4 linked regions of the Drosophila melanogaster genome follow. The protein of the gene in region 3 interacts with the protein of the main gene of each other region in a pairwise test. Each region holds a gene or a part of one and is shown on either strand. Other genes may lie near its edges. The genes, in order: Cpr, Ubi-p5E, sturkopf and Jheh3.

Region 1 (10,439 bases), on a different chromosome or scaffold from region 3:
CATACAGTAAGTTCTCGTTGTGCATGCCTGGATTGTGTACATCAGGCTGGGAGCCCGCATAGTAGGCATTTCCGGGCGCGGCCATTGCCAGTGCCACATTGTGGAATTCCGCCGATGGTGTGCGGTACTTTAGTTGGACCGCCGTCTCATAGTCTGGTGCCGGGCGGTATGTGGGCAGCATGGCTTTGAGGCGCTCCCGCTCATCGTTGTTATTGTTGTTGTTGCTGCCTCCGTGGTGCAACATGCCACTGCTGCTGTGCAGGTTGTTGTTGCTCAAATCCAGGCAGGAGCTGCTTTGTCCCAACATCTGGTTAGCGCTGGTAGCCAGCGAAATGTTGGAGGAAATCATCTGCTGCTGCTGAATCTGTTGCTGCTGCTGCATATGTTGCTGCTGCTGATGATGCTGTTGCAGTTGCTCGGCGGCCGCCGCTTCATTGTAATCGTAGTCGACATAACCAACGCTGTCAACGCCCAACGGACCACTCTCCGCATCCGCACCACTTCCCAGGCTCGAGGGCGTGGCCGTGTCAATATAGCGCTTGAAAAACTTATGCTGGCTAATGGTGAGCTTCCAGAAGTAACGTGCCGTGTCCGCCTCGCTGAATATAAAGCTTCCCACGATGCTGCCGCCACCATCCAGCTTGTTCTGCTCGATCTTAATCGTTCGCTTGTCGATGGTCACCGTGTGGAACTCCTTCCATGGAAAATACTGCCGACCGTTGTCCGCGTTCACCACCATCCCGTTGATGGCCAGGCCCAGCAACAAATCATTGCCGAGCGTGTCCTTGGCGGCGAAACGTTCCTCCCCATACCCCTCCAGCTGCTGGCAGCACTGTATGTACATCTCCTCCGCCTGGCTCTGACTCAGATGTGCAATGCCCGCCTGCTGCTGCAGGACCTCCACGATCAGTCCCTCCAGCATGCTGTCATCGTTGGCCAGGCCTTGCATGTTGCGCGGCAGGACCAGCGACTTCTTCAGATAGTCCTTGCTCTGTTTGTCGCCCTGGTAGCTATCGTACTCCGCCTGGCGGCAGTAGAGCGCCAGCAGTATGGCCGTGCGGATGTCACAGGCGATGCGGCCCTCGTAGATGTCGCTCTTCAGCTGCAGAAAGTAGTAAAAGCGCGTGGCTTCGTCGCTCAAGTGGCGCACGCCAGTGGTCACGTAGTGGCGAACGCGCAAGTAGATCTTGGGGCCCGCCGCATACTTCTCCAGCTGCCGACTGAGCGAGCGCTCCAGGTCGATCCATTTGAACTCGTCCTCCTTGTCCTTGCCCTTGACCAGGTAGCGCAGTCCAAAGAACTCCGGCTGCTGGATTAGCAAACGTTGGCAAACGTTGTCCAGGCACTCCTGTCCCTTGCTCTCCGAGCTGATCGTGCAGTCCACTGTGCTGGATGTGTCTGCAATGTAGGTAAGAGTGAAAACGTGCTTCAAACATCGGCCTAAGTCGCTCCAAGCACTCTAAATTCGCCGCACAACAACAATTTGGCCCTGCCCGTCGCACGCGCAAATATGCAAATAAAGTTTATAATCTCTTTCGAGACCTTATACGTTTTATGGACGGAAATTGTGGCGGCGCCGCTCAATTGGCTTCTCTCATCTGTCGTATTTCCTAACTAACGAAACGTAGGCCTAATGTCTAAAACCTTTCTGATGGTTGGAGAAATTTGGGTGGTTTTAATTGAGTCAAGGTCTTCAGTTCGCTTGCCAAATAAGTACATTCGGTTAAGTGTATAAGAACTACAAAACATGCTTTTGTTTAGCCCAAAATCGAGAGTAAATAATATACAAAATGTGAAGTACGCAAAGTTAGGAAGTTCTCATAGGCAGTCTGTTAGTTTTAGAATTAACGGTCGCTGTTATGTGTCCTGTGCGCCTCTGTTAACTCAGCGACTGTTAACTAGAATGCAACAAGTGAAGGCATTTTTGTGGTCTGTGCCTTGGAAGGCGAATTCCAGCTAAACTGGAAGTGGGCGCCGCATGACAATCGTTGTGCACATTCCCAATTAAATAATCCCAATTGCAATGGCAGACGGCAGCTGTTAAGTTGTGGCTTTGTCACCGATTTCTTGTTGTTTCTATTGTCTCGTCTCCACTGTTGCTATTGCTGTTGTTGTTGTTGTCGTTGCTGTCGCTGTTGTTGTTGTGGGGGGCGTAGCGCCTCTAGGAATGTGGGGCTTACTCACCCAGCAGGTGATGCACTGATATAACAAACAAACTCTTGGACGTAACATTGTACTGGCGACACTTTTTCAAGAATTTCAATGGCATTTTTCGACTATTTTGCTCCACCGGGGCTCCGCTGGGCTCACAAAAGTGGCTAAAACGGCAGCACCATCGACACCACAGGTTTTTTTTGGGGGAGTAAATTGCTCAATTGGAATTAGCCGATTTGAATCAGCTGATTAGACACGCAAACCAGAGCACTGCGCGTATTGGTTAAGTAAAGTTAAAGATAGTAATTGGGCAGTTAACGACAATAAATAAAGGAATTCACGAGAAATAAAACGAAGAGACCGAAGTGCTGATATCGATACGCAGGTGCTGACTGAGTATCTCGGTGGCTGGCATCGAATGGATCGATAGGCGGCATTGACTATCGGTATGTCTTTGCGCAGTGGGCTGCAAGAAAATAGGTTTAGTTCTGTTAAAGAAAACAAGTGCAACCAAGAAATATGTAACTGAAACAAAACAGTTTATATTTTAAAATATATAACAATGCAGTCAGCAGTGATTAAATAAAATTCCTAAAGATATTAAAACCACTGATACACACGAATACTTCGTTGTACACAGCAAGAGAATAACGGTTTCTAGCGAACAGTAAAATATCAAACTTAACAGAGCTACTGGACACATAGGTGGCGTGCTGGCATAGCTCTGTTATCCGTTCCAACTCCAGTGCTGGAAAGTGCGCGCAACTGAGAAATCCACACCGCGATTCGACGACGGTCCCTCTGGAATTCAGTAATTTAGTACTGCTGCTGCCGTGGTAGTCGTCACTTCCCCTTTGCACTTGCCGCCCTCCGTCAACGTTTTATCGAATAAAGCGAATTAAAATTAAGATCGTGGCTTCGCCCCGCTGCGTAACTGAATAAAGCGAATTTAAATCAAGGGCTTTGACGTCTGCCAAGCTGCTGAGAGGGGCTGCAACAGGAAGAGCACCAGAGACGGGGCACAAATCCACATCCACATCCACCGATCGTCGTCTATCTACAGAGGATTAGGAGCAGCGCAGTCGGAGATCGCGATCGGTGAGTTTCGAGGAGCCGAATCACAAGGCCACGCACTGTCGAAATCCAAAAAGCAAAACCCGATTACCAAAATCGAAATCCAGTCCATAATTAATTTGCTGCTTAGATATTTCGAGCGCTGCATTGGCGGTCAAGGTTGCAGCGACGAGGACAGATGATGGAGCAACCGTATCGCTCACTCGCTCGCTCACACACACACACACACACAGAAGAGCCCTGCGAGCGAGTTTAAAGTTCAGTACCTGTTGCTGCGCTCGCCCAGTCTCCCTCTCCCTCTCGCTCTCGCACAGCCTCGCCGCCGCCCGTGCGATAGTGCGCTCTCGCTCACTCCGTCCGCGCTGCGTGTAATTTAATTTAATTCACTTCTGTTATTAATTTGCGCTATTTGCACGCTGTATCGCCGCCTTTCACGTCTCAAACCGAGTCGTAGGCCGAATTGCATAACCAAAAACGCGACTCGGGTCGCCAATCGGCCATCAAGTTACTTTTCTGCTCGTGGCTCTCCGCTGAGAACAGCTGTCGACTGTCTGCTTCCCGTACAGTAAGCACTCGATATGAGCGACGAAGCTATGTTCTTAATTTCCGTTAACCTGCCTTTCCTTATTCAAAAAATCAACATTTGAAAATCCTAAGTACACCAACTTTACACATTTTCCAATTGGAGTTGGCGTTGCATTTAGTTTCCAATTTATTAAAAACAATTTGTGAAAAAAGCCAACCGATATATTGTTTTATGCTAATTAAACACACACACATTAATGACGATGTAAACAAAATCCTAGTATCAAAATTTACTACAACGAAATTGAAAGTGGCTTAGTTCGAAAAGCCGAAGTGTGTATACTCTTGCTGCCTTGTATAACTGAACTCTGTAAAATCGTTCCATTTTGAAAGAACTAAGAACTTAGTAGGAGATACTGCAAGTCTAGGTATGTACGTACATACATATTTACATATATATAAATCAGTTAAAATATAAAAATTGTACATTGTTGTACACTTCCTAAGAACTTTTATGGATAAAAATTAGTTCTCTGAAATTCAAGTTCAAAGACAAACTAAATAAATATATTATATTATATGTTATGACACCCCATTATAGGGTTACCTACCTATTAAAGCTAGACTATTAGTTCTTCCAATTAAAGAACCATTAAAAGGGCAGGTTCCGTAATGGGATTACATTTAATGGACTTCGGTTAAAGTGAGCGCGGAGTTACATTTCATCCTTTCCAGACAGCCAAACTAGGTTTATGATAACGAAAGCCACTTGGGCGCGAAATAAATATGCATAGTCATGCTTACTTTATAATTCTCCGTCGATTCGGACGAGTAATTCGAGAGTGTCATCGTGTTTAGGGAATTTTAAAATCACATATGCCAAGCGAGATTCTAAGCGTTATCACGCACATTACAAGTGTGTAGGGTGATACTAGATGGGCGTTTGTTGTGACTAGATCGTAAACTTTGTTTGAATAGATGGCTAAGCAGAAATAACCAAGATCATTCATCTCATTCATTTAGATTAACTACTTAGTCGTAAACTAGAAAAAGAAGCACTCAAATAAAGAGTGTTTTTGGAGGAAACATATACACATTTGAACGAGTTAGGATCTATTGTTTCGTAAAAAAAACTAAAGAAACCGAATTTATGTTAACATTTTTGGAACATTTGTTGGTTTTCGTGATATATATGTGTGCTTCCTAACACAATTTAATCATTGCGCTGTCGTCATTCCGTCAATCGAACAGCACACATGGGTGACCTATAAAAAGACGCCAATTTTATGTTCACCTCCACTTGTTGTCAGTGTTGGTTGTTATCGGGAGCGTCGAACACATACCTTCCTCGAAATCGGACGAGAATGACGATACTGGCGTCGATTTGCATATGCCTCGCATGTGTTTAATATTTATTTTCTGCCTTTTGCTGACCACAGCAACAAGAACTATTACGCGACTCTATACAAAGTTCACGCACGTAGCGGCGCATTAGCAACATTAAAGCATTAAGTCAAACCCGAATTCAAGGTGAAAATTCAGTAGAGCTCCTTAAGCCCCCACAAAACAAAAGATAACACCTGGGATCAGCTCAAACTTCCAACTGCTTAAGTTGAGAGTTCTAGTAAAAATGCTTTCGGCACTAGTTAAAACTCAAAGCAGTCGGGGCGAATTTCATTGAACTCCAAGTGTGCATTTCAAAACCCAAACTCTAGCTTAAGTAAACCCTCTCAATTTGCATTTCCTATGCTTTTTTTTATAAATTCGGGTAAAGAAACGTATACAAACCGTATATGTACATTAAAATCTTTAAGTACTTCATAAACTGAATCCTAATGAAAGGGAATGTATTTTGTTTGGGATGATTTTAATCCGATTTCACATTGACAAGTACCAAAGCCTTTGCTTAGTGCAATTGGCGATTTCCTGGAACAACGGCTGGTAAAGGTGTTAATCGAGTGATTGGAAATCAAATTTCGTTATTTTGCGCCGCTCAAAGAGTATTTGCTTGGGAACAGCGCATTTCGAACGCTTTTACTCGTTTTCATCATATCTCTCGACCGGCGACGGCATTCGATAAGCGCGTGCATAAAACCTGTTGCTCCCGGCGGTCAGTGAGCAGTGCTCCCTAACGCGAAACACACGTTGCGTCGCCACAGAGGCGGATCCAATCGAATTCATAGCTTTAATTGCACCAGTGCAGCACTGCAAGTGATCGACGGAGTAGTCGTAGTTGTCAGTGCAACGGGAACGTCCCAAGGTACGATCGATTAAAACCAGATGCGCGATTTCAATGTCAACCGGCGGCGCTGGCGGAACATCCAGCTAGAGCGGTACCTTGCACCGCTAAGACAAGTGCGGAAGCGGACGGACTACCGTTAGACGCACAGGCGATGCTACGCCGCCAGCGCTGGTATACGTGGAATACATTAGAGTGCGTGTCCAAAGTGCGCGACATGCAAATGGAGCTAGACCAATGTTATGCAAAGCGAAAACTAAAGCGCCGTGAATTCTGTGCCCTTTTTTTGCAGTCATACACGTACCACCATGGCCAGCGAGCAAACGATTGATGGAGCAGCCGCAATTCCCAGCGGCGGCGGCGACGAACCCTTCCTGGGACTGCTGGACGTGGCCCTATTGGCGGTGCTAATCGGCGGCGCAGCCTTCTACTTCCTGCGTAGCCGCAAGAAGGAGGAGGAGCCAACCAGGAGCTATTCCATACAGTAAGTATAGTTAAATTTGAGCAATCTAAAGCAATCTAATCCGAAGTCCAAAACCATGGCAATTCTTGAATTGAATAGTCAGTTTCTTGATAAACCTTTCAAAAAACATGCATATCACGCGTACAATTCAATATTTAAAACTGCTTCTTGAATGAAATGCCCTCTAGATCTATTCGGTTCATTCCGTCACAGATCCATATGTTCCGCCGATTTGTTGGAATCGATCGGCCATTATTTGACGCTGAATGATTCACACATCGCAAATGAATGTGTGAATACCATTGTGTGATTCATTCGTTGATCTGAGTGTTTACCTGCGTGTTAAGATAAGATTCAAATTTGGCTGAGATTTTAACGCATATCTTTACCTTCTTCAGACCCACCACAGTGTGCACCACCAGTGCGTCGGACAATTCGTTCATCAAGAAGCTCAAGGCATCCGGACGCAGTCTGGTCGTCTTCTATGGCTCACAGACCGGAACCGGCGAGGAGTTCGCCGGCCGTCTGGCCAAGGAGGGCATTCGTTACCGTCTGAAGGGCATGGTTGCCGATCCCGAGGAATGCGACATGGAGGAGCTGCTGCAGCTGAAGGACATCGACAACTCGCTGGCGGTCTTTTGCCTGGCCACCTACGGCGAGGGAGATCCCACTGACAACGCCATGGAGTTCTACGAGTGGATCACCAGCGGCGATGTCGATCTGAGCGGGCTAAATTATGCGGTGAGTACGAGCGATATCACACGGAACGGTCTTATCTGCATGCATACTGATTACACGAGTCCCCCTCGCCAAACACGGAGTCCGTTCCTCTTATCAAAACATTGTGCCACTGATAAGTGATTTTTATTCCACGCCCAATCGCAATTTTGGCTATCTCCCCGTATTTTTGCGCTTTGAGTTGTTTGTTGTGTTTTAATACAGCTGATGTAAGCGGAACGAAAACATTTGAAATGGCATTGGCGGATCCTAATTAACAGATAGGCTGTAACCTGATAGTGTAGCGCGCACGGAAGAGTTTGTTTTTGATAATAAACCTACTATTATTACTCCCCATCTCCCAAATGCCAGCAGTTCAGCGTAGACAAATTGATAGAAATCTAATCGTTTCTTGGTAGCCTTGGAGGTGTCATACACCTTAGTTTCGTTGACTTTTAAACAACGTTAAATATAGCATATTTTATTGTTGCCGACAGTCCAACTGGTAGTAAACCAAAAAGGAGTTCTATATTATCAACCTTATCAGTTGCCCAATTCGAATTCCCCGCCAAACTAGCAGCTCAAAAATGCGTCGTTCAGGTTCGCGCGCCGTAGCAGTCGGCTTTTGACTGGCAGCAGTCGCACGGAATTTTTAGTTGCTTCTTGAAAAACAATGTGCTCAATGTCGATCTCTGTTCTTGCGCAATTTGTTTACAATTGCCGTGGAAATTCTGCGGTTCAATCCAGCAAATGTCGGCCGGAAAATGCAGAGCTCGATCGCCACATCTGCCCACCTGTTCGTCAGGTTCCGCCAGCAAAAGCTGTTGAATTTGCTCAGCATTTTGAATAGTTTACGTAACAGAACAGCTGTCGCGAAAAGAAAAATTGAATGGAAGGTAGTATGAAGTTCAGTTCTACAATCAATCATAGTTCAAACTATTAAACTGATAAGTGATAACACTCAAACTTATTATGAGTCTCATTAAAAAAGATGGCTTAGTTGTTCATTCGTGCTCTGAAATTCGCGTTCCTAAGATGCATCATGTATTTTAAGTAGTTAAGTTAACTGAATTCCATTCTATAGTTACTAAATCCACTCTTATCTGATTCCAGGTCTTTGGCTTGGGCAACAAGACCTATGAGCACTACAACAAGGTGGCCATCTATGTGGACAAGCGACTGGAGGAGCTGGGCGCCAACCGGGTCTTTGAACTGGGACTGGGCGACGATGATGCCAAGTAAGTGATGAAGGTGTAGCCAACAATGTGAACCATACTCAAGTGATACTTCCCCAAAAGCATCGAGGATGACTTCATCACGTGGAAGGATCGCTTCTGGCCCGCCGTGTGCGATCACTTCGGCATCGAGGGCGGCGGCGAGGAAGTGCTCATCCGCCAGTACCGTTTGCTAGAACAGCCAGATGTGCAGCCTGACCGCATTTACACGGGAGAGATCGCCCGCCTGCACTCGATTCAGAACCAGCGCCCGCCCTTCGACGCCAAGAACCCATTCCTGGCCCCCATCAAGGTGAACCGCGAGCTGCACAAGGGCGGTGGCCGCTCCTGCATGCACATTGAGCTGAGCATCGAGGGTTCCAAGATGCGCTACGATGCCGGAGATCATGTGGCCATGTTCCCTGTTAACGACAAGAGTCTGGTGGAGAAGCTCGGCCAGCTGTGCAACGCCGATCTGGATACTGTGTTCTCGCTGATCAACACCGATACGGACAGCAGCAAGAAGCACCCATTCCCTTGCCCCACTACGTACCGCACCGCTCTGACCCACTACCTGGAAATTACGGCCATACCCCGCACACACATCCTCAAGGAGCTCGCTGAGTATTGTACTGACGAGAAGGAGAAGGAGTTGCTGCGCAGCATGGCCTCCATCAGTCCCGAAGGTAAGAAATTATTCACAAGACTTATTACTGCTGTACCAGTAACAGGAACTCCCACGAACATATACTAATGAATGTTGCATTGCAGGAAAGGAGAAATACCAGAGCTGGATCCAAGACGCCTGTCGCAACATCGTCCACATTCTGGAGGACATCAAATCCTGTCGCCCACCCATCGATCACGTTTGCGAGCTGCTGCCCCGCTTGCAGCCTCGTTACTACTCCATCTCGTCGTCTGCTAAGCTGCACCCCACTGATGTCCACGTTACAGCCGTTCTCGTGGAGTACAAGACGCCGACGGGACGCATCAACAAGGGCGTAGCCACCACATATCTGAAGAACAAGCAGCCGCAGGGCAGTGAGGAAGTAAAGGTTCCGGTATTCATCCGCAAGTCGCAGTTCCGTTTGCCTACGAAGCCAGAGACACCTATCATAATGGTGGGTCCTGGCACTGGCTTGGCCCCCTTCCGCGGATTCATTCAGGAGCGACAATTCCTTCGCGATGAGGGCAAGACCGTGGGCGAGTCGATTCTCTACTTCGGTTGCCGTAAGCGCAGTGAGGACTACATCTACGAATCCGAGTTGGAGGAGTGGGTTAAGAAGGGCACTCTCAACCTGAAGGCCGCCTTTTCTCGTGACCAGGGCAAGAAGGTCTACGTGCAGCATCTGCTCGAGCAGGACGCAGATCTTATATGGAACGTGATTGGCGAGAATAAGGGGCACTTCTACATATGCGGGTAAGTAAGCTAGAGGATCAGCCAGCACACAAGATTCTCACCATACCATTCTACCCATTTCAGTGATGCAAAGAACATGGCCGTGGACGTTAGGAACATTTTAGTGAAAATTTTGTCCACTAAGGGTAACATGAGCGAGGCTGACGCCGTGCAGTATATCAAGAAGATGGAGGCTCAGAAGCGCTACTCGGCCGATGTCTGGAGCTAATCTGATCCAAAAGCCAACCGATGATAAGCGTAAAGTTTTCTAGTTCACTAAGCTATGTAAGCGTAATTTTTGGTTTGGGAACTTCATGCTGCAGTTCAACAAACGAATGAGTAACGATTAAGTGTATGTCTAGTGTAATTGACTCTAGCTTGACCCTGGACTGTTTGATGGGACAAACTGAGATGGAATCTAAGTAATGAAATGAGCGGAGTAACAAGTTAACGATTAAGTAGCTGTGTACGAGTGCAGATTAGTTAAAGTCCTTTATACGAGCAATTTACTTCGTATTCTCTTGGTGATTTCAATACAAAAACGAAACATGTTGTGCAATTAAACAATGACATTGCAATTGTATTTTTATAAATAAAGAAAAGTACGGTTGACTTCTATAATAATGTGTGTTTGATGTTTTCGAAATAGGATAA
Region 2 (7,620 bases), on a different chromosome or scaffold from region 3:
CGTAATGCAGTCCGGCCGCAGACTAGTTTCTGGCCACACCGCGTCGGATCACATAGACCAGCGAGATGCCGATGAAGGCGGCGCCCAGGGCCAGTGCCACATGACGGCAGCTGTTGCATGGAATAGAGAATATGAAAGGCGGTTTAAATCAATGGGAGTATCATGGTCAGGATAAGGCACTCCGACCGACTGGGTGTCACAACAACAAAACTGGGTGCACTTTGGTTAGCTAGCTAGGATTACACGGTTTTGCAGGCATTTCTAGAGGGGTTGATTTAACTTAGGATGCAGCATTGCTTGGGGGTGGCGGCGGCATCAGTAGGCGTGGCACTTTACCAAGGCACAGAACCAAGAATCAAAATAAAAACGCAAGTCAAGGTGGGGTGCCATTCACAAAACCAAAGAGTGACCAATTACAGCGTGCAAATTGTTGGTATTCTAGATTATCACATTTATATATGTACATAATTCCAGTTGCTTGACGTGTGCTTTGGGTTAATCATGATGGGTAATATATGTACACAGGTCAGTGGTTAGAACTTACAAGTCCAACTAGCTTTTGTAGAACCTTATTTTCGTGCTTGAGAAGGAATTAAATCTTGAATGGAGCAAATATCATACATGCAAGTTGAGATTCATTAGATTCATTAAATATTAAGTATTGTGGCTTTGTTAGCGGTTGGTAAAGAAAAAGTTGATACTCTATATGGGAATATAAATAATTGATATAATTTAAGGAACACTTCTGTATCATCATTATCTTCTTCAGGGTATCCAATCGTATCAAAGGGTATCAAAGTAGTACACCAAAAAGTGTACGAAATAGAGACTTTCAGGACACGTGAAGCGTGAAACTTTGGGGGCTTCGAGGCAATTAATGGATTACATAAGAGTTGGCTAATTGTACTTATTGATTGAAACGCAGGCCATGCTCATGCGAAACCGGTTGTGGTCGGAATAGGAGCTTCATGCATTAAGGAAAGTGGAGCGTACGAAATGATGATGATGAAATGCCTTATCAGGAATACTGGTGTTCTAGCGAGATAAGGAGATCAATCCGTGTGGGAGCGGAGAAGGGAAATCCGCAGGGCTTTCTTTATTTACATGATGATATGGCATTTTGGCTTGGTTGGGTCTTTGCATGCACTTGCTGGACAGGATTCTCACCTAATTGGGCTTTTCTTCTTGATGTCCGCAGCAGCCAGGTCACCAATGTAGTATTTCTTCAACATCTCTCTGAAAAGGCAAGTGGGGAAGAAATGTGAATCAGGTGATCCAGGCGCACTGGCTATAAGATGGACTCTCTAACCTCGCCTCCGAGCTGTGACCCACGTCATTGAAGGCCTTGGTGGCATCGCGACCGGCCTCATCCACCAGGGATTCCTCGCCACCGGGATGCTGGAGATAAGGGCATCGAATTAGATGGATTCGCCACCCCCCCCTAAAACCAACAATCTGCATCGCCACTTGCCTCGAGACGGAACTTGGTCACATCGTAGACCTTGTTGTCGATGACCACCCACAGATCCGTGGCTTTGTTGTGTTCGTTGACGGTGGCCAAACGGATTTCCTTGCTCATCTTGCCTGACTGCGCCTGCCTGCTCTTCTCCGCAAATTTAACTAAATAACGCAAGCTAACAGGTTTTCGGACTATTCCAGTGTGGCCGGCTCCACTTTTCGTTGGAGTCAGCTGGTCACACAAAATACCCCAAATATACCACATAAGGTACCTAAGCAATAATTCCAATGTACCTGTGGTACAATTCCAGTAAAATACAATAGAGTATTACAAATTTAAATATTCAAATTAAATCCACCACTCCAACGCCATCCAATGTTTATTGCAACTTTCTATCAAGAATCCCCCACAAAATTAAAAACCCTGGGAAACACAGATAAAAACTACATAGAGTATTACATTGAACACACAAATTGAAAATTTTATTCTTCGAATACCAATAATTATTGTGATTGATTATTTTGTGCCTTTGAATAAACCAATTTACTAAAACTTAGTATGAATTCTTGAGTTATGCCCTGTGGCACAACTAACTAACTTCAATTTTTATAAGGGTGAAAAAATCTAGATGGCGCCACCACGCAGACGCAGGACCAAGTGAAGGGTCGACTCCTTCTGGATGTTGTAGTCGGACAGAGTGCGTCCGTCCTCGAGCTGCTTTCCGGCGAAAATCAAACGCTGCTGATCTGGGGGGATTCCCTCCTTGTCCTGGATCTTGGCCTTAACGTTCTCAATGGTATCGGATGGCTCGACCTCCAAGGTGATGGTCTTGCCAGTGAGGGTCTTAACGAAGATCTGCATGCCACCACGCAGACGCAAGACCAAGTGAAGGGTCGACTCCTTCTGGATGTTGTAGTCGGACAGAGTGCGTCCGTCCTCCAGCTGCTTTCCGGCGAAAATCAAACGCTGCTGATCTGGGGGGATTCCCTCCTTGTCCTGGATCTTGGCCTTAACGTTCTCAATGGTATCGGATGGCTCGACCTCCAAAGTGATGGTCTTGCCAGTGAGGGTCTTAACGAAGATCTGCATGCCACCACGCAGACGCAGGACCAAGTGAAGAGTCGACTCCTTCTGGATGTTGTAGTCGGACAGAGTACGTCCGTCCTCCAGCTGCTTTCCGGCGAAAATCAAACGCTGCTGATCTGGGGGGATTCCCTCCTTGTCCTGGATCTTGGCCTTAACGTTCTCAATGGTATCGGATGGCTCGACCTCCAAGGTGATGGTCTTGCCAGTGAGGGTCTTAACGAAGATCTGCATGCCACCACGCAGACGCAAGACCAAGTGAAGGGTCGACTCCTTCTGGATGTTGTAGTCGGACAAAGTGCGTCCGTCCTCCAGCTGCTTTCCGGCGAAAATCAAACGCTGCTGATCTGGGGGGATTCCCTCCTTGTCCTGGATCTTGGCCTTAACGTTCTCAATGGTATCGGATGGCTCGACCTCCAAGGTGATGGTCTTGCCAGTGAGGGTCTTAACGAAGATCTGCATGCCACCACGCAGACGCAAGACCAAGTGAAGGGTCGACTCCTTCTGGATGTTGTAGTCGGACAGAGTGCGTCCGTCCTCCAGCTGCTTTCCGGCGAAAATCAAACGCTGCTGATCTGGGGGGATTCCCTCCTTGTCCTGGATCTTGGCCTTAACGTTCTCAATGGTATCGGATGGCTCGACCTCCAAGGTGATGGTCTTGCCAGTGAGGGTCTTAACAAAGATCTGCATGCCACCACGCAGACGCAGGACCAAGTGAAGGGTCGACTCCTTCTGGATGTTGTAGTCGGACAGAGTGCGTCCGTCCTCCAGCTGCTTTCCGGCGAAGATCAAACGCTGCTGATCTGGGGGGATTCCCTCCTTGTCCTGGATCTTTGCCTTAACGTTCTCAATGGTATCGGATGGCTCGACCTCCAAAGTGATGGTCTTGCCAGTGAGGGTCTTCACAAAGATCTGCATGCCACCACGCAGACGCAGGACCAAGTGAAGGGTCGACTCCTTCTGGATGTTGTAGTCGGACAGAGTGCGTCCGTCCTCCAGCTGCTTTCCGGCGAAGATCAAACGCTGCTGATCTGGGGGGATTCCCTCCTTGTCCTGGATCTTGGCCTTAACGTTCTCAATGGTATCGGATGGCTCAACCTCCAAAGTGATGGTCTTGCCAGTGAGGGTCTTAACGAAAATTTGCATATTGCCTGAGTGGAGAAATGAAAAAGGGAAAAAGTTGGCTTGAGTAATGGAAAGTGGAAGGAAATTGATTTTCTGCGTAGTGACCCAATTCCCGTGACCCAGAAAAGTATTTTAGCATACACATACAGAAAACATTATTGGTTTTTTCGTTAATGTTTTCACAGCTTGCATTATTTCGCCATGAAATGGCAAATTTAGTTTTGGTGACTAATCTCTAACTTCGTTAAAAAAAATCCCCTGGAACTGGGCATACACACACACACACACACACACACACACACACACACACATAGATAGAAGCATGGAAAGCACCGTTTTCTGCTTGCTGCATCGCCATTTTGAATGCAACTAAGAAAAACTATTAAGCAATTGCCAAACTGAACTCACCTTATTTTCTTGTTTCGCACACAAAAGTTAATTTATTTCTTTACTGTTGGTCTGCACTTTTTGAAATATTCAAAAACTTGCTTTTATTTTACTTGCTCGGACGTCCGCTCTCTACGACTTTTTCACAGTTTATGATTCGTTTCGCAGCCCCACGCTGGTATTTATAGGCAGCTGACTGGAAAGTCGTCGCCTGCTCTCTCGCTCACTCTCGGGCGGTAGGTTACTTTGTTTTCGCTCTCTGCCACTTAAAGTGACCGTTTCTTTTGTCTAGTCTATTGGAAATGAGATTTCGCATTGACAAGAGTATTTAACACATGAAGGCCAATCAATTGGCTAGCTGCAATACGCAAAATTGGGCATTGAAAACAAAATGCGTAGTGCATATGTGCACTGCTTTTATCTCGCTCGCTCTCGTGAGCGAGAGAGCGGAGTTATCGATAAGTTGCCTGACCCTCTTTCCAACACTAATCTCAGCTGTTGAAGTGTATGCGTTTGTGTGTGTATTCTAACAGAGGGAGGTGTATAAATTTGTATATACATACATATGTATGCATGTAGACGCACAGACATCTTCTTGTGACGTTCTTTGTTTGGCGAGTTAATCGACCTTTTTTTGTTTTGACGCCGCCTGGGAGATTTGTCTTCGCTTTGGTCATCAGCCTTTAGACAAGAGAGCCCAACAATTTAAAATTTCCCACCAACCCACTCGCACATAAGCCAGTATGCGTACAATGCTATTTCCATATGTACATATGCATTACAATTGCATCTGGAAAGTTCCAGGAATGGAAGGGTCTGATGAAATCTGATGTATGCTGATTTCAGCAGCTTAACCCTTGATGTAACCCCTTAAAATAGTAAACGTTATTAACTCTTTAAGTACAAACTAAAGATATAGGATAATATATACAATTATTCAAATAATTGTCATGAATTTCTCATACTAACAATCCAGTGTACATGTATTCCCCATGATATGACAAAAAAAAAAAAACAAAATAAAGTTTTTCCTTCCAAAAAAGTGAAGTTTTTTTTGGAATTGGTAGCTTCTTACTATAAAATAGTTCCAAGTTACACGAGATTTCATTAAGTTTGCTTTATATTAAGAAATAAATTAATGTATTTATGGATCCAAATATAAGAAATGTTTTACAATTATGGAATTCCACGCAGCTGGAGATGCCCAGCGTGTTCAGCGAGTGCGGGCAGTTGGCGTTCGTGCAGGTGTTGCAGCCCCCCAAGTGGGGCATGTCGCTGAACGGCGGATGGTTGTAACAGTACGGGCAGAACGGATACGAACGCCCCTTCACGCCAGTGGAGAAAGCCAGCAGATCATCCAGCGGGCACTTGAACTCGCGATACACCTTCACATTCCAATGGGCAGGGCGTATGTCTCATCGCAATGAGAGCAGTGCAATCTTGCCGGTAGAGCAGTGCAATGCCCGACTCGGCCAGCGGCGAGAAGGATACCTGAAACAGTGCGTCCATGCTGTCGATGTTCTTCACAAAGTACATAAACTTCAGCTTGAAGATCTTGATGGCGTGTCGCAAAACATCCTGAAAGTTAGCCGATCCCTGGGCAATCAACGTCAGCATGCGCTCCACCTCCGTTCGCATGGTGAACGTGGTGATCTGGGGGGATTCCCTCCTTGTCTAGGATCTTGGCCTTGACGTTCCCAATGGTATCGGATGGTCCAACCTCCAAAGTGATGGTCTTGCCGGTCAGAGTCTTAAAGAAAATTTGCATATTGGCTGCGAGTGGAGAAATGGAAAAGGAAAAAAGTTGGCTGAGTAATGGAAAGTGGAAGGAAATTGATTTTCTGCGTAGTGACCCAATTCCCGCGACCCAGAAGAGTATTTTAGCATACACATACAGAAAACAAACATTATTGGTTTTTTCGTTAATTTACAGTAAATTTAGGTTTGGTGACTAATCTCTAACTTAGTCAAAAAAAAATAATAATAAAATCCCCTGGAACTGGGCATACACACACACACACACACACACGACAAGTGTGTTCATGCTCAAATTCGAATTTGGATTAATTAATTTGAATTAAAATTAAAATTTGAATTAAGAATTTAAACATGTTTTGATTCTTTCGGAGCGGAACAACCTCTTAGAAAGGGAAAAGGCTTAAAGGTCGCGGACAGACAACTAATCATCCTCTCGCCGTTCTGATGCCTAAGCAAAGGCTCTGGTGTCCGATTAGAGGCGGCATAAACCTCCACCGGTAAAACGCCAGGGAGAAATCCGTGGCCCACAATGGATCCCTTTCTAACGTTGGTGACCAACAAGCCGTAGTCCGCCCATTAGATCAGATGGACAGAACAGGGGAGGCAGTGCCCGATCCCAACGACCCGTTCAGGAGGAGCTACAGCCTATCGAGATCCCCTACAAGAGGAGTCCGAACTCCAATTCACGGAGCGAGGGGTGAGCAAGCAGCCGAAAACTAGCGACTGCAGTGCAGCTGTAGATGTGGAGACTTTGGCCCCTACAGCTTCTATGACTGCCACAAGCCAGAAGACGATGGACTTCATTAGCGTGCCTCCTCAAGGGCGGGAACAAAGTCCCCATCACGATCTCCGCATCGCTCGTCGGATCTGACCATGACCTGCTCACCGATAAAATACTTTGACTGGCAGTGCCGGTGAGCTTGACAAGGACAGGAGAGAGATCAGAGATTTTTGTTTAGTACGTAGGCATAATTCTCTAGCTGAGAGTTATGAATCGTGCATGCCATCTACGGACGGTGGACGGTATCTTTGAATTTCATTTTCCTGCCGTATATAAAAAAAACACACAGATGCATGGAATGCACCCTTTTTCGCTTACTGCACTTGTTGCTTCGGCATTTTAAAAGCAACTAAAAAAAACTATGAAACACTTGCCAAACTAACCGGAATTTTTTTCCTGTTTCGCACAGAAAAGCTAATTTATTTCTTTACATTTGGTCTGCACTTTTTGAAATATTCAAAAACTTGCTTTCTTCACTTGCTCGGACGTCCGCTCTCTACGACTTTTTCACAGCTTACGATTCGTTTTACAGCAGCGCGCTGGTATTTATAGGTATAGGTATAAGTTGACTGGAAATTCGCCGCCTGCTCTCTCCCTCACGGTGGGTTAATTTGTTTTCGCTCTCTACCACTTAAAGTGACTGTGAAGGGTCGACTCCTTCTGGATGTTGTAGTCGGACAGAGTACGTCCGTCCTCCAGCTGCTTTCCGGCGAAAATCAAACGCTGATGATCTGGGGGGATTCCATCCTTGTCGTGGATCCTGGCTTTGACGTGTTTGATGGTATCGGATGGCTCAACCTCCAAGGTGATGGTCTTGCCAGTGAGGGTCTTCACAAAGATCTGCATGCCACCACGCAGACGCAGGACCAAGTGAAGGGTCGATTCCTTCTGGATGTTGTAATCGGACAGAGTGCGTCCGTCCTCCAACTGCTTTCCGGCGAAGATCAAACGCTGTTGATCTGGGGGGATTCCCTCCTTGTCGTGGATCCTGGCCTTAACGTTTTCAATGCTATCGGATGGCTCGACC
Region 3 (6,744 bases):
TTGAGCAGCAACATGAAGAACTCCTTGCGCACGCCACCCGCGTCCTCCGCCTCCTCGCCATGGAACTTGATTTTCAGCGGCTTCTTAAGATCACTCTGCGAATAATGCTGCAACTCTCGAAGGGAATCCTGCACCAGATTCTCACGCGTCACGTTGAGCACAATGAACTGCGAGATGGGCATCCCGTAGTTGAAAAAGGAGAATGCCTGCTGGATAAAAAAGTAGTTATTAACTCATAAATCATTTCTGTTCGGCGTCATTAACCCACCATGGTAGCCGCATTGGCCATGGCGGAGTGCATCTGGAGCGCCTGATCCGCTTGGAGTAACGCTGTTTTAGCAGACTGGTCGAAAATGAATGAATAGTTGCAAATATTGAAATCTCTGGCAGTGTCGGCCATGATCCATTTAACGTACTCCTGCTGCACGTCTGCATAATCCGAAAGATCAGGCCAGTAAAAGATTTGATAGTTTAGGCGATCATGGCGCTCGTTGTTAATTTGGCAGAGCGTTTTCATCAGCTTTAGAATGATCTCGAGTTCAGTGTTATATGGCAGCAGCTAGATTATGAATAGAGAATTAATTGACACTGGTATGGCCCTATATTGAAATCTAAATACCTGTTGACGTCTTTCGGCGCTGGGACTAGCGGCAGCCAAGCCCATTTTGAAACTTATAATATGGATGACAACATGCAAGAAGTTCTGGACAAGATGCTCGAAGTATTCAGCCGGTGTTTGGGCCAACCACTTGTTCAGCACTTTCCGTGGGTTCTCTGCTAGCTTAAATATGGCATTGGCAAACGGAACCTGCAGTGACTTGTAGTGCTTGGAGTTGACGAACTCGTGGTAAAGTGGGAGCAGAAGATATAATCGCATGCTCTCCACATCTGCCGGTGAGCAAACCAGCGAACCAACTAGCTCCTTGGTTATATTGTCCCAGATCTGAAAACAATGAAATGATTAAAACAGATACCAATGATGCTTGTAATGGCGAAAACTTACCACCTGCCTAATGCTTTCATTTTCCACAGCGCGCAGATTGTCGAATGCTAGTTGGGCTGCTTTCAGATCCAGTCCATGGTTGCGAACCGAGCATCCAAAGTGTCGGTCGTGATCCAGCAGAAAGGAACCATTCCAACACGCCTGGCTTCTAAATATTAGTTCAATAGAGCTCAGTAGATCCATGTCGCTTTGAAGGCCCTGCTTGCATTGAGCACACTGCTTGGTGACTTCTGCTGTTAGGGTTAGGATCTGGGATTTGGGGCTGCAAAGTAGATATATGTTTATAGTTTTATATGTTTATACTAAAGTAACACGCTTCTATAGTTACTTGTAGTTTCTGAAATCCTCGGGCGGCACCTTGTCTACAAACAAAGTTGTGGTCACAATCGACTGATCGCCACCTGAGAAAATCTGTCGGATGACCAACGAGACCTGTGAATCATTGGATTGCAACAGGGCTGATCCGCTGGGCGACACCCAAGGACCGATGACCACCTGCGGCAGCATCAGGCTCTTGGTACTCCTCGTGCCCAGCTGCCCAGAGCTACCCAAGCCAAAGGCATAAACTCTGCCGCGCGATGGAACAAGCGCCAGAGTGTGCCGATTGCCACAGGCCACCTGAGTGATGGTGCTGCCCATTAGCTCCATTACCATTCGCGGTAGCATCTCATTCGAGCTAAAGCCATGACCCAACTGCCCATAGGCGCCAGCTCCACAGGTGAACACCCCTCCCTCGTTGGTCAGAAAAACGGAGAACTCATCGCCGCAGGCCACAAATCGCACGCCCAGGGTGCGCAGCGTTTTCAGCTGGGTGGGATACGAGCGGTTCGTTTCGTCATTCAGTCCCAGTTGCCCGCAGTTGTTTCTGCCCCATCCGAACACCGCACCGGACTTGGAGATGAGGAACGAGTGATTGCCTCCACAGGCAATTGCGGCCAGCGGAATTCCCAGCAGAGTGGTTAGTCGGAGGGGATAGTTGCAATGTGTCAAATCATTGGGGGAGTTCACGCCCAGCTGACCGTAGATGTTGGAACCCCATGAATACAGCTCGCCACCTAGAAACGTCAAGGATGATGTTAGTCGGAAGGTATCGTTGTTTAGCTTTAGATAAGAATTGTTTAGTAATGCCCTAAACTTGGGAAATACAATTATCTTATCTTGTTTCAAGTAGTTCTGATGTGTATCTGTGTATCTAGTGAATGGAATCCATTAAATTTCACTCCATACTTACAACTGGTCAGTGCCAAGCTGTGATTGTTGCCGCAGGCGATCTGCACCACCGTCTTTGTGACCAGTTGCCGCACAACCTTGGGCAGCTGCACGATCTCCTTATCGGTGGCATGGCCCAGCTGGCCGCAGTCGTTGTCGCCCCAGCTTAAGACCTGGCCCCAATCGGAGAGCGCCAATGAGTGGCGGCTGCCGCAGCAGATCTGGATGATCACGTAATCCTGCAGTTCGGGGATAAGCACTGCAAAAAGTCGGCCGGAAGATGATTGCGGGGTTTAGACTCGGTTCACAGCAGTGGCTCGCGTAGTTGGTGAGTATGGAGATGAGGTGGAGTTAGTGGAGAGTGGACAGACAAGACGATAAATGAAGATTACATACGAAATGGCGACATACGTGGCCTTTTGGTGGGCAGATCGTGGCCCAGCTGGGAGTAGTCGTTGCTCCCGCAAGCGTAGACTTTTCCAGTGGCGGTCAGAAAGAGAGTGTGTCGGTGTCCACAGGCGACCTGCTGTACAGCAGTGTCCGGTGTCCAGGGTATCTGACTAGGTGTGAGGATCTGTGAGGAAATCAATGGCATACAAAAGTAATATCAGTGGGCTTATATCCGAAAGTCATCTATCTACCTGCTCGTCCTCGATTCCGCCAAGTCCCAATTGACCATGTGACGTGCTTCCCCAGCAATAGAGCTCTTTGCCAGATGCCATTGCTCTGGATCCGCCCAATAGCTCCTTCGGTTGTTCTGGGTATAATAATTTACTTGTTGGTGCTACAAGAATTTTCGAGAATGTCCCCAATTGTTAGCTACATTCTTTTGTGTCCACTTGCTCCCGATTCCAATTGCTCGGTTCATGCCTCGTCAAGCTTTCGATGGGTGTGCCTTCAGAATCTAAGTCTAATCCTGAATCCTGTTACCTACAACGCTCTATAAATTTTAGGCCTTCTAGAAAAAAAATATAAAAACTCAAAAACCAGCAACAAAAAACCAATAAATAATGGTGGCGATGCCAACTGGTTGGGATAGGGCCACATTGCCCACGTTGGCAGCCCTGACAATGGGCTTAAGCTAGGGCTGCATCGCTTGCGGACTTTTAAGATCCGCTTTGAAAAACCTTAAGATCGGATAATTCTCTAGAACTTATGCTGAACACGAATATCAAAATGTTTTCTCAATTTTTTCCGAAAAAAGAAACAATTTGCGATTTTACATATAAGTTTTGGTTAATAAAAAATGTATACGTAGGTAACTAATGTTAGGGAGTACTTTCGAATATTTAATGATGATAGGTAAAAGTTAATATGAAATTTATAAAAGCTTCTAGTACTGTAAAGAGATATCAATAGGTTGACAAATAATAATTTACGCCATAGTATTTTTTTTAAAGTTAATGCATTTTGGTTTTTTTCTTTTTTAAACAAAATTATCTACACTTTTTCTCTGTCTGAGCAATCGTTATCATGGTAAGTATCCGCTAATATAGAACATCTGATTTTGGCATAGCTTGCCGCCCTGGTTTCTGTATCAGCCGTTTTTAAGCCGCTGAACTTGTGACCTTTGTCCATTCTTGCTGGAAACAATTGGCCGAAACACATAGCAGTGTTTATCAGAGCTATCAACCCTGGGGATAAACCGCGCCAATCCTCAAGATTTGAAACTCGTGAAAGGCTGCAGCCGAGGTGGTTGGACAAAGGAAAACCGGTTGCCACGGGGATTAGACAACTCATCGCGTGTGAAAAGAGTGGGATCAACACAGGTGCCGATTGATTTTCAGCGCAGTTTGCCACGCCAACAGCAGCGGAAAATATGCAGGAGGCCTACGTCAACATCAACTCCATTCCCACCCACATATTCACATGGGGCAGGTGGATTGAGGAGACCATAACCGAGAAGGAGATCGTCATCTGCATAACTGGCAATCCCGGTTTGCCAGGTTTCTACACAGAGTTCGCAGGCACTTTGCAAAAGGAGTTGGGCGATCTTCCAGTTTGGGTGATAGGTGAGTGTGCTGGCGTTTCCACATTGAGTCGGTAATAGCACACTTGATGTTCCCTCCAGGGCACGCTGGCCATGATGATCCGCCAGAGGCCAGTATTCGGGAGGTTCCTCAACTCAGCGGCAACGAGGAGCTCTTCAATTTGGACGGACAAATCCGGCATAAAATCGCCTTCATCGAGAAATACGTGCCAAGTGATGTCAAGATCCACTTGATTGGGCACTCCATCGGAGCGTGGATGATCCTGCAGCTGCTGGAAAACGAGCGGATACGGAGTCGCATCCAAAAGTGCTATATGCTGTTCCCCACCGTCGAGCGGATGATGGAGTCGCCCAATGGATGGGTGTTCACCAAGGTGGCCATGCCCCTGTACTCCGTGTTTGGCTACATTTTCTTCAGCTTCTTCAACTTTCTGCCCGTGTGGTTGCGCCTGATGCTGATACAGATCTACTTCTTGATTTTCTCCATTCCACGACAGTTTCTGGGCACCGCCCTAAAGTACTCCAAACCATCGGTAGCGGAGAAGGTGGTCTTCCTGGCCGACGATGAGATGGCCAGGGTTCGCGGGATTCAAAGGGAGATTGTAGAGCAGAACCTGGACCTCCTCAAGTTTTACTACGGCACTACCGACGGATGGGTACCAATCTCCTACTATGACCAGCTCAAAAAAGACTACCCCAAGGTGGACGCCCAGCTGGACACCAAGAAGATCGACCACGCTTTCGTCCTGCGCCACTCGCAGCCTATGGCTGTAATCGTAAGAGACATGATCCAGCAGCACAGACGTGTTTGAAGTCGATTGTTGACCTGGCCCAGACAATCAGCCCTGTCCATTACCTAATCCATCCATGCCAATAGACTTGGGAATCCGGATTACGGTTGAACAGCAAACCAATAGCAATTACTCCACTGCCTTTGTGTGGCAATTAGTTCGTTTTTATTAGTATCTTTTTGCAGCTCTCGAAGACAACTCTAAATATAGTCAAAAGTGATTTAACACGGTTGAGAGGTGCGTTATTTTTCCGGGGACCCTGATCTGCTACGGGATTCGGACTTGGATCGGCTGCCAGAGCGAGAGCGGGATCTTGAACCCGACGGCGAGCGGGATCTCGAGCGGGAACCGGACTTTGAGCGCGATCTCGAACGGGATCCCGACTTGGAGCGAGACCTCGATCGAGATCCGGACTTGGATCGAGATCTTGAACGGGAACTCGACTTGGAGCGAGCACGGGACCCAGATCTATCCGATTCCCCGCCAGATTCGATGCGATTCCTGGCGCGCTTCCGCTTAGTTGCTTCATCACTGTCACTCCCAGATCCAGATCCACTTCTGCTCCTGCTGCGCTTGCGGCTAGCCTCGCGATCACTGCCGCTTCTAGAGGCACTGCCACTTCGGCTACCACTGCGATTTCGACTCCTGCTTCTACTTCTGCTCTTGCTGCGCTTGCCGTCAGACTCGGATTCGCTGGTGGAGATCGTCTCCTTGGAAAGCACCTTGAGGCGCTGCTTGGCAGAAAGCTTCTCCTTGGACTCTTTAACCGGCTTCGGCTTCTTGCCCTTCTTCTTTCCCGACTTGCCACTGGCACCTGGCTCTTCCTCGCTGTCGCTCTCGTACTTCTCCGTTTTGCGCTTGCGACCGCCACCCTTTTTGCGTTCCCCCTTGCCCTTCTTCTTCGAGGGACGTTCTCCCTCACGACGAGCTCCATCGTTATCGCTTTCGGTACCGGAGATGTAGTCATCTTTACGACCTCGCCCACCACCCTTCTTGCGTTCCTTTTCAGGTGGAGCGTCCGCAATGATGAGCATGTTCTTGGTCTTCTCCACGTACTCCTGCCGCTTGGCTAACAACTGGTCCCTGGAGGTCTTTGCCTCCTCCTCGCGCCGCTTGCGCTGCTCCGCCACCTTAATTTTGAAGGCCTCGCGCTCCTCTTCCTGCTTCCGGCGCAACGAGCGCTCCTCCTCGTCAATGCGACGTGCACGGCCCACATGGTACTGGGCCTGAGAGAGAAGATCTTGGCAGGTGCTTGCCTCAATGCCAGCCACCTCAATGTTGAAGCGATTCTTATCCCCGTGCACGGACAGATATTGGAAGTATCTATAAGAGATTGGGGTGGGATATTGTGAGTGAGATTTTAAGCACGAAACAAAACATATTCATAGAAATAGTTATTGACCATGATCAAGGAAATCATCAGCTAATCTAATCCAATCTTCGGTTTAGCAGTTCATGATGATTGCTTTGCATTAATATCTAATCTGATCTGATAAGCTAAAATGCCATTAATGGTTACTCATTTCTGCTGTACTTCTAAATATAATCAAATTCACGTTATCACTTGGTTGGTACTCTAATAACCACTTGAAAATATTTGATAGGCGCAGTTTAAGAGAGCAAGGATACCACTTACTTTTGAGCCAGCTCCAGTTCATGGACAGCTTGCAGCACAATTTCCAGAGTAGATTTCTCATCCTTGAGTATGGCCATGGCCAAACGTGAGAGGACCACTGCTATGTTGAAGAGTA
Region 4 (6,584 bases), on a different chromosome or scaffold from region 3:
AAATTCTAATGTCAATTTGGACCAAATCTCCGCTATTACAATGATGGCTCCCTCTCGTTTTCTATTTTTATCAATAGTTCGTTAGTTTTTAATAAAAGCCCAAACGTTTTCAATGATATTAAGGTCTGGGCTTTGGGGGGGCCACGGAAGAACCGCCAGATTAAGGTCGTTTAAAAATTTTGTTGGTATCCTACCCTTATGGCATGGAGCATTGTCCTGCTGAAGAATCCATTCAGTAGTTGGAAAAAGTCTATTTCCAGACGTAAAAGCATGGTTGTTTAAGATAAGAAGGTATCCGTTCTGATTTAAAGTTCCTTCTATCGGTACCAAGTCTCCGAATCCATAATAGGAAAGACATCCCCAAAACATGACTGTGCCCCCACCAAATCTATTGGTTGGCTGGGCTGCCAAATGCTTTTGATTATTTTTCAAATGCATAAAATGCTTGCTGTATGACCCCTGGTACTGAAATGCAGACTCATCAGTCCATAAAATATTAAACCAAAAGTCAAGAGGCTTCTTAACATATTCCAACGCAAATCGAAGACGTTTTGTTTTGTTGGTTGGTGTGATCTCAATCGTTTTGCGAACAACGTATGTCTTAAAATCAGCTTCTTTTAGCCTGCGACGAATTGTAGAACTACTAACTTGTTTGCCAATTGTATTTTTTGATTCTAAGGCAATTTTTACCGGACTGGCACTAGGATTCTTCGCCACAACTCCAAGTATTTGCCTGCATTGCCTTTGGTCCAGCACAGGTTTTCGGCCTGATCTTTTTTTATTTTTTAATGTGCCAACTGTATCAAGCTTTTTTATTAAGTAGTAGACAGTTCTACGCGAAATTTGATATATTTCAGCTATTTTGGCCGCAGGTGTACCGGCTTTAAACCTAGCAACAATACCAGCCCGGGCCTCAACTGTTAACTCTTTTGTTTTGGGCATTTTATTTAATAACTGTAATAGGAAAATGATTAAATCTAATTTTTATTCAATAATTTAAATGTATTTAAGCAAACAAACCGGCACTTGTCACTCTAAACCAATCACTGAAGAAGAAATTGCGTTGTGAAAATAATTGTGATGCGACGAAACCGTGTGCAAATACTTCTGACAACTGATAAAGATCTCTTCATTTGCCTCTTCCTTGCGCATAGGAACAGTTATTTTTTCAATTCTTCTTTCATCTGACTCTGCATAGGTTTGAATTTGCAAAAGCAAAAGTTTTTTTGCATTTCACCTCCCCCCACTTGCTGCACAAGCAACTGTTTGTGACCCATGCACAAAAATGCACTTTGTGAAAATAATTTTGACCATGACTGTATATATATAAATATACATATATACATATATATAAATAAAGAATCAATAATATTTTTTTAGTTTGCGGTCAATTACAAACATGGATTACAAGCAATTACTTCTTAACCATACCTACTATTTATAGTTATTAGTTTTATTGTAATGTAATTAAAAAAGATTTTGTCTTACCCCCTTCTATTTCCCTTCCACATTTGTTAAATATTATGTAACCACGTTATGGTGGTACTGAGGTGGTCCCAACCACCTTACTGCAAAACCGTACTTAAAATACGTTGACCTTTTGTCGCCTTGCCAATTTAATAGCTATCTCATGTGCCTCCCGATTCCCAAGCGAAAGTACAAAATCCGTTTGGTAATTATACTTAAAACAATTTATTTTCTCTTCTCGCCGTGTAGGCCAATTTTTCCCACAAAGGCGGTAAAATCATTGAACAACATGGCCGGCATCTCCAGGGCGGCAAAGTGGCTGCCCTGCTGGAAGTACATCGAGTGGGTCAGGTTGGGGAACTTGTCCCTCAGCTGCCAGTCAGTCACCGAGGCCAGATCGAACCGGAAGCGGGCACAGCCCATGGGAACCGGGGACTGCACACGATCCAGCTGGAGATCCCTGTACGTCTTGGACACGTTCTCCAGGTAGAAACGAGCCGCTGTCGTGGCCGAGTTCGTCAGATAGTAGACCATCAGGTTGTCCAGCACAGCCTCCAGGCCGAAGACAGTGACTATGGCGCCAAAGTCCTGCTTCAGGCCGGGATTTGTGCAGGTCTGGAATTTCTCGAGGATATAGGAGGCCAAGCCGACGGGACTGGAGGTCAGAGCCGCTCCAATCGTATCCGGCTTGGTGGCCTGGATGTGAAAGTAACCGCTTTCCTCCAGCAGCTCCAGCCATTTTTCCCACACGGGGAAGTGATGATCCACAAAGAATCTGGACGGCAAGTACTTCTCCGGGAAGAAGCTGCCGTAGATTCCCTTCAGAATGGCCAGTGGCGTGTGCAGAACGCACATGTTCGAGTGGTAACCGATTACGTTCTCTGGATACAAGGTGGCCAAGTTGCTGCCAATGATGCTGCCCCAATCTCCGCCTTGGATGAAGAACTTCTTGTGGCCCAGACGCAGCATCAGGTTACGCATCACAGTGGCCATTTCAGCGGCATTAAATCCGGGACGCGTGGCAGCCTTAAGTTATAATAATAATAATAATAATTAAAATGAAGAAATTCAACTGAAAAACAAATAACACTCACATCGGACCATCCGTAGCCCACCAGGGATGGTGCCACGACCTCAAAAGCGTAATCCGTGATGTTTGAGTGCTTGGTTAGCATGGGTATAAAGTCGAAGAACTCGCGCACCGATCCTGGCCAGCCGTGGAGCAGGAGCAGAGGATATACGTGTTTCTTTTCCTTAGCCTCCTCGGATACCTTTTCGTGGATATAGTGAATATTCAAGCTGCGGAGGTATTACGTTTTTAGCATGGCATCCATGTTATACAAAAGCACTCGTACCCACCCCTGAATTTCGGTCTTGTACTGCTTGAACGAGTTGAACAGCTCCTGGCGCTCATCCCACTTGGTCAGGTAATTGTCCCGCCAGTAGTCCACAAACTGCTCCAGTGCATAGGTGTTGAATCCGTATTCAAAGGCGATTCCGTCCAGCGGTTCGGTTAGTCTCAGCGTGCGGTTGAGTTCCTTTCGCAGATCATCGATCTCCGATTGCGGCACCTGCAGCTTAAACTCGTAGATCTTTTCGTCGGGCACAAAGTCCTTGGCATCGCCGGGACCCCAGTACGTATCATCCTTGAACTCCGGCTTGGGCAGGGGCTTGGTCAGTTCCGTGAATACCACGTAGCCATAGCCCACGAAGGCACCAAACAGGGCCACAATCAGACCAAACACTATCAGGCACTTCATTCTGGCCACAGGCGCAATTAGCTCCCCCTCGTTATGAATTTAAATTAGCCACCTCGTACACCTCCCAGAAGAGATAATGGTTTGTGATTCCTAACCCGAATTCGGAATAAACACGACCGTGCAACCAGAAAGCCGCTTAAGAACTGACTGCCGGCGCATATACTCATTCCCCGAATTGTCTCGCAAAGCTCTATCGAAATTCGCTGTCGCCGTTATAGTATATGTTCGTATAATATTTATAAATTCGTTTAGATAGCGCTGGCTATCGTGCACAGTGGTTCACAATATGATCTGTCAAATTGATCTTTGCTTGATCTTGGTTATAATGGTCTGCTCGCAGCTCAAAGGTTAATGGGCTTGGGAAATTAAGTATAAAGTATAAATATATTTAAATGTGGTTAAAGCTTTGCACTTTATAATGAAATTTTTGTACTTTATAATACTTTTATACTTTTTGTACTTTTGTACTTATAATATATAATTAGATAGTTAGATAGCTTGCCTATCTAAGGGTATTTAGGAATACCAATTCCCTAACCAAAGGGTATTTAGGAAGTATATATATTTTTTTTCATTATTTTCTATTTCCAGCATTTTATAATAGACTTAGCCCCAAGGTGCATTGCGGTTAGTCTGCCTGGTACTGTGTTACTTGCCCGCGTCTGCACCTTGAATAGCCCATTGATTTCCGAGCGAGATAGGGTGACCCATACGTGTGTACCATATGAGACAAGTGCGATGGTGACTTGAGAATAGTCCCAGCTACTTATTCGCCACCACTATCTTATCGAACTTATTTATTGGTAAGCGCTACGCCGGCAACTGATCATAAATCTCAGCCCTTCTGCCACTGATGATGTGGCTCCAAAAAATGAATGAAATGAAGTCGGCCGATCAGAAGGCCACGTGGCACCTATCACTATCTAAATACACTCCTAGTAATTCTAATGTAAAATAGAATGGCCAATCAAAGCAAAACCATTTGGCTTCTATCCTCAAATCTACCTAAACTGCGGTGCCATGTGAGAACGGATCAACCTTTGGCCGCACTTCTTAGGCAAAAATATGCCCAGGCATTTGGAGTTGCTACTGAGTCTCTGATCCTGGCCTTCGATGGTGAGAAAATCCAGGAGGAGGACACATTTGACTCCTTGGCCATGGAGGATAATGACATCGTCGATGTTGTAGAAGAATGTTAGTGCTCGAAGACCATGAAGCCAAGTTAATAGAGGCAGTGAACTGCGAGAGGTTAGCAGGCGACATTGTACACTGAAAATATTAGATAAAAATTGTAAAATAGAAACCCATCGCAAATATATGCATAGACTTGGTAATATTTTGTCTAAATTTTACACATTTCTATTTCTGGGTGCATAAAAGGTAGGGGATAATTCGCATAAATTGTAAGGGCACCAATAATGCTGTCGACATGCAACTATATCGAAGGACTCAAGGGGCAAGGAGACTCGATAAAAAAAACCACAAAAGTGCCGCCAAACATGCAAGACAGCCAAATGGGGGCGTGGTTGGTTCGCCGTGGCAGAAACAATGATGGGAAACGTAATTCGAGCGAAATTAACGCAATTACCGTGCCGCAGTCAAAGGACTCAAATTCACTACCTTTCGATGCACTGCAGTTGAAAAACATACAAAAATAAGACTAAAGTTTGTTCGCGTGCCGCAAAAACAATCGCATTGATACTTGGAAGCGTGTCAAAGCTGCCACCTTCCGGGGAAATGGAGAGGTTCCTATTGCGGACCCGAATCGCGGACCATTAATGCCGGCTCCGCCGGGCTAATTCACATTTTATTGAGTGCTCCAGTTACGGCCAAAGTTTGGCACCAACGCCGCTGCCATTGGCAACCGCCTCGCCCTCGAAGAGGGGGCGTGGCCTTAATGGTCGCAATTAGTTTTTCATCCAGCTGACACGCACTTGTCGTAAAAGTCCATTGAACCTGACGCTAAATTGATTTCCATTGGGGCGGGCCTGGAAAAGTTATTCAGCATATTTTACCTACTAAAAAAAAAAAATACATTTTTTATGAACAAAAACGCAGGTACACTATGCCAGATCGATCAAATCAACGTTGGTTTGTCATCGCAACTCTGGCTTCGTGGAACTTAATGAGTGGTTTCGGTTTCTACGCCTACATTCTGGATTGCTATGGTCAGTTAGTACACGTTTTGCCAGCTAATGTTTATATTTTTCCCTCAGTAAATTATCCATTTGATCACCAGAGACGTCAGTTCAAATATCACACTTTTGCCGGAACTATTGACAAAGATGTTGTTATGGGAATCACTGTCGTAATGCTATGTCAGATAGTATCTTCGATTCTACTATGCTTTGCATTAGATGAGGTGAAGTTTAAGAATATAAAATCCTGGCGGTATATTAATTAGTTTTCATTTTAGAAGAAAAGAACATGTCTTATTTACGGAATTTTCATTAGCCTAACTTTTCCGTGTGTCTGTCTCCCAGTTTGGCCATTAGCTGGTAAGTTTTTAGAATTTTCAAAAATCTTTTTCGAGGCATCTAATAGTGTGTTTCAACAGTAACACATGTCAGTCTTGTTTTGGTAGTGCTGAGTTATTACTTTGAGTAGTTTAGAAAATGTTGTAAAAAATTGTAATTATTTTGGTCCCTGTATACAAAATATGTTTGGAGGTTCATTCATTTAAAAATGGGAATTATGGGTATTGATATAGAATATATTTATAAAGTAGTAAGATATAATTTAATACATGAGTAGAAAGAGTTTACTTTTATATAAAGCCAGTTTTGACAAACAATAGGTGGTTTATATATTATAACTGACTAAATTAAATTAAGACTAAGTCATACAAGAGTAAGTTATTTTTCTATGGGCCCAAAAGTATAGTATAATTTTGGTTATAACAAGTAACTTTACTGATAAGACTTGGATTCTCTTTATAATATATTTAACAGAGATGTATATGATGCAATTTATAGAATTTAAAAAATCTTAAGAAACTTAAAATGTTGCTTCAAGATCCTGGTCATCATTGCCCCAGGGAAATTCCGTCTTTTCCGGTGGACCTTCACCCCTTGAACCAATTTCAAGCTCTATATAATCGGCAGATGACTGGGCTGTGACGTGTCCCAGCTGTAAAGTAAATATGCATATATATTTTTTTTTATATTTTTTTATTTTCGGATTAATTGTATATTTTTCCTTTGCCGCACTCACCCAGCAGACCAAAAAAACGGCCAATATTTTCATTAATATCGATTGTAACAACATTTCTCTCGGCTGCCTCGGCACTCAACTGCTGATGGGAAACTGTTTTTACGTTTGCTCAACCTCTGCTTTTAATCAATTATCACTTATTAA

The links.
Region 1: the proteins of sturkopf (region 3) and Cpr interact in a protein complementation assay, tested with the Drosophila melanogaster proteins (one study listed by BioGRID).
Region 2: the proteins of sturkopf (region 3) and Ubi-p5E interact in a protein complementation assay, tested with the Drosophila melanogaster proteins (one study listed by BioGRID).
Region 4: the proteins of sturkopf (region 3) and Jheh3 interact in a protein complementation assay, tested with the Drosophila melanogaster proteins (one study listed by BioGRID).

Annotation. Positions count from the first base shown.
Region 1 is NT_033779.5:6,335,874-6,346,312, forward strand, and holds Cpr (cytochrome P450 reductase), read left to right. Parts: upstream 1-2,962; 5' UTR 2,963-3,252; intron 3,253-3,951; exon of another isoform or gene 3,952-4,181; intron 4,182-5,881; exon of another isoform or gene 5,882-6,013; intron 6,014-6,284; 5' UTR 6,285-6,300; coding exon 6,301-6,476; intron 6,477-6,853; coding exon 6,854-7,196; intron 7,197-7,825; exon of another isoform or gene 7,826-7,936; coding exon of another isoform or gene 7,937-8,068; intron 8,069-8,285; coding exon 8,286-8,410; intron 8,411-8,470; coding exon 8,471-9,072; intron 9,073-9,157; coding exon 9,158-9,806; intron 9,807-9,869; coding exon 9,870-10,014; 3' UTR 10,015-10,407; downstream 10,408-10,439. Other genes in the region: Pez, read right to left, coding at 1-1,398, 2,185-2,269. UniProt on the Drosophila melanogaster protein: This enzyme is required for electron transfer from NADP to cytochrome p450 in microsomes. It can also provide electron transfer to heme oxygenase and cytochrome b5. May function to clear the olfactory organ (antennae) from accumulating chemicals.
Region 2 is NC_004354.4:6,275,061-6,282,680, forward strand, and holds Ubi-p5E (Ubiquitin-5E), read right to left. Parts: upstream 4,588-7,620; 5' UTR 4,076-4,587; intron 3,694-4,075; 5' UTR 3,689-3,693; coding exon 2,084-3,688; 3' UTR 1,816-2,083; downstream 1-1,815. Other genes in the region: CG3566 (uncharacterized protein), read right to left, coding at 23-110, 1,168-1,236, 1,310-1,398, 1,472-1,579; CG11700 (uncharacterized protein), read right to left, coding at 7,218-7,620.
Region 3 is NT_037436.4:1,310,200-1,316,943, reverse strand, and holds sturkopf (sturkopf), read left to right. Parts: upstream 1-3,566; 5' UTR 3,567-3,688; intron 3,689-3,738; exon of another isoform or gene 3,739-3,822; 5' UTR 3,823-4,031; coding exon 4,032-4,224; intron 4,225-4,283; coding exon 4,284-5,014; 3' UTR 5,015-5,225; downstream 5,226-6,744. Other genes in the region: Herc4 (HECT and RLD domain containing E3 ubiquitin ligase 4), read right to left, coding at 1-206, 269-559, 620-943, 1,004-1,265, 1,332-2,058, 2,235-2,471, 2,609-2,786, 2,854-2,934; Ctr9, read right to left, coding at 5,236-6,316, 6,630-6,744. UniProt on the Drosophila melanogaster protein: Probable serine lipid hydrolase associated with lipid droplets. Appears to lack or have very low cholesterol esterase activity. Appears to lack triglyceride lipase activity.
Region 4 is NT_033778.4:18,858,700-18,865,283, forward strand, and holds Jheh3 (juvenile hormone epoxide hydrolase 3), read right to left. Parts: upstream 3,380-6,584; 5' UTR 3,228-3,379; coding exon 2,827-3,227; intron 2,767-2,826; coding exon 2,562-2,766; exon of another isoform or gene 2,494-2,561; coding exon 1,693-2,493; 3' UTR 1,676-1,692; downstream 1-1,675. Other genes in the region: CG43069 (uncharacterized protein), read left to right, coding at 4,187-4,426; CG43070 (uncharacterized protein), read left to right, coding at 5,293-5,395, 5,444-5,589, 5,644-5,725, 5,785-5,834; CG43071 (uncharacterized protein), read right to left, coding at 6,225-6,356, 6,441-6,494.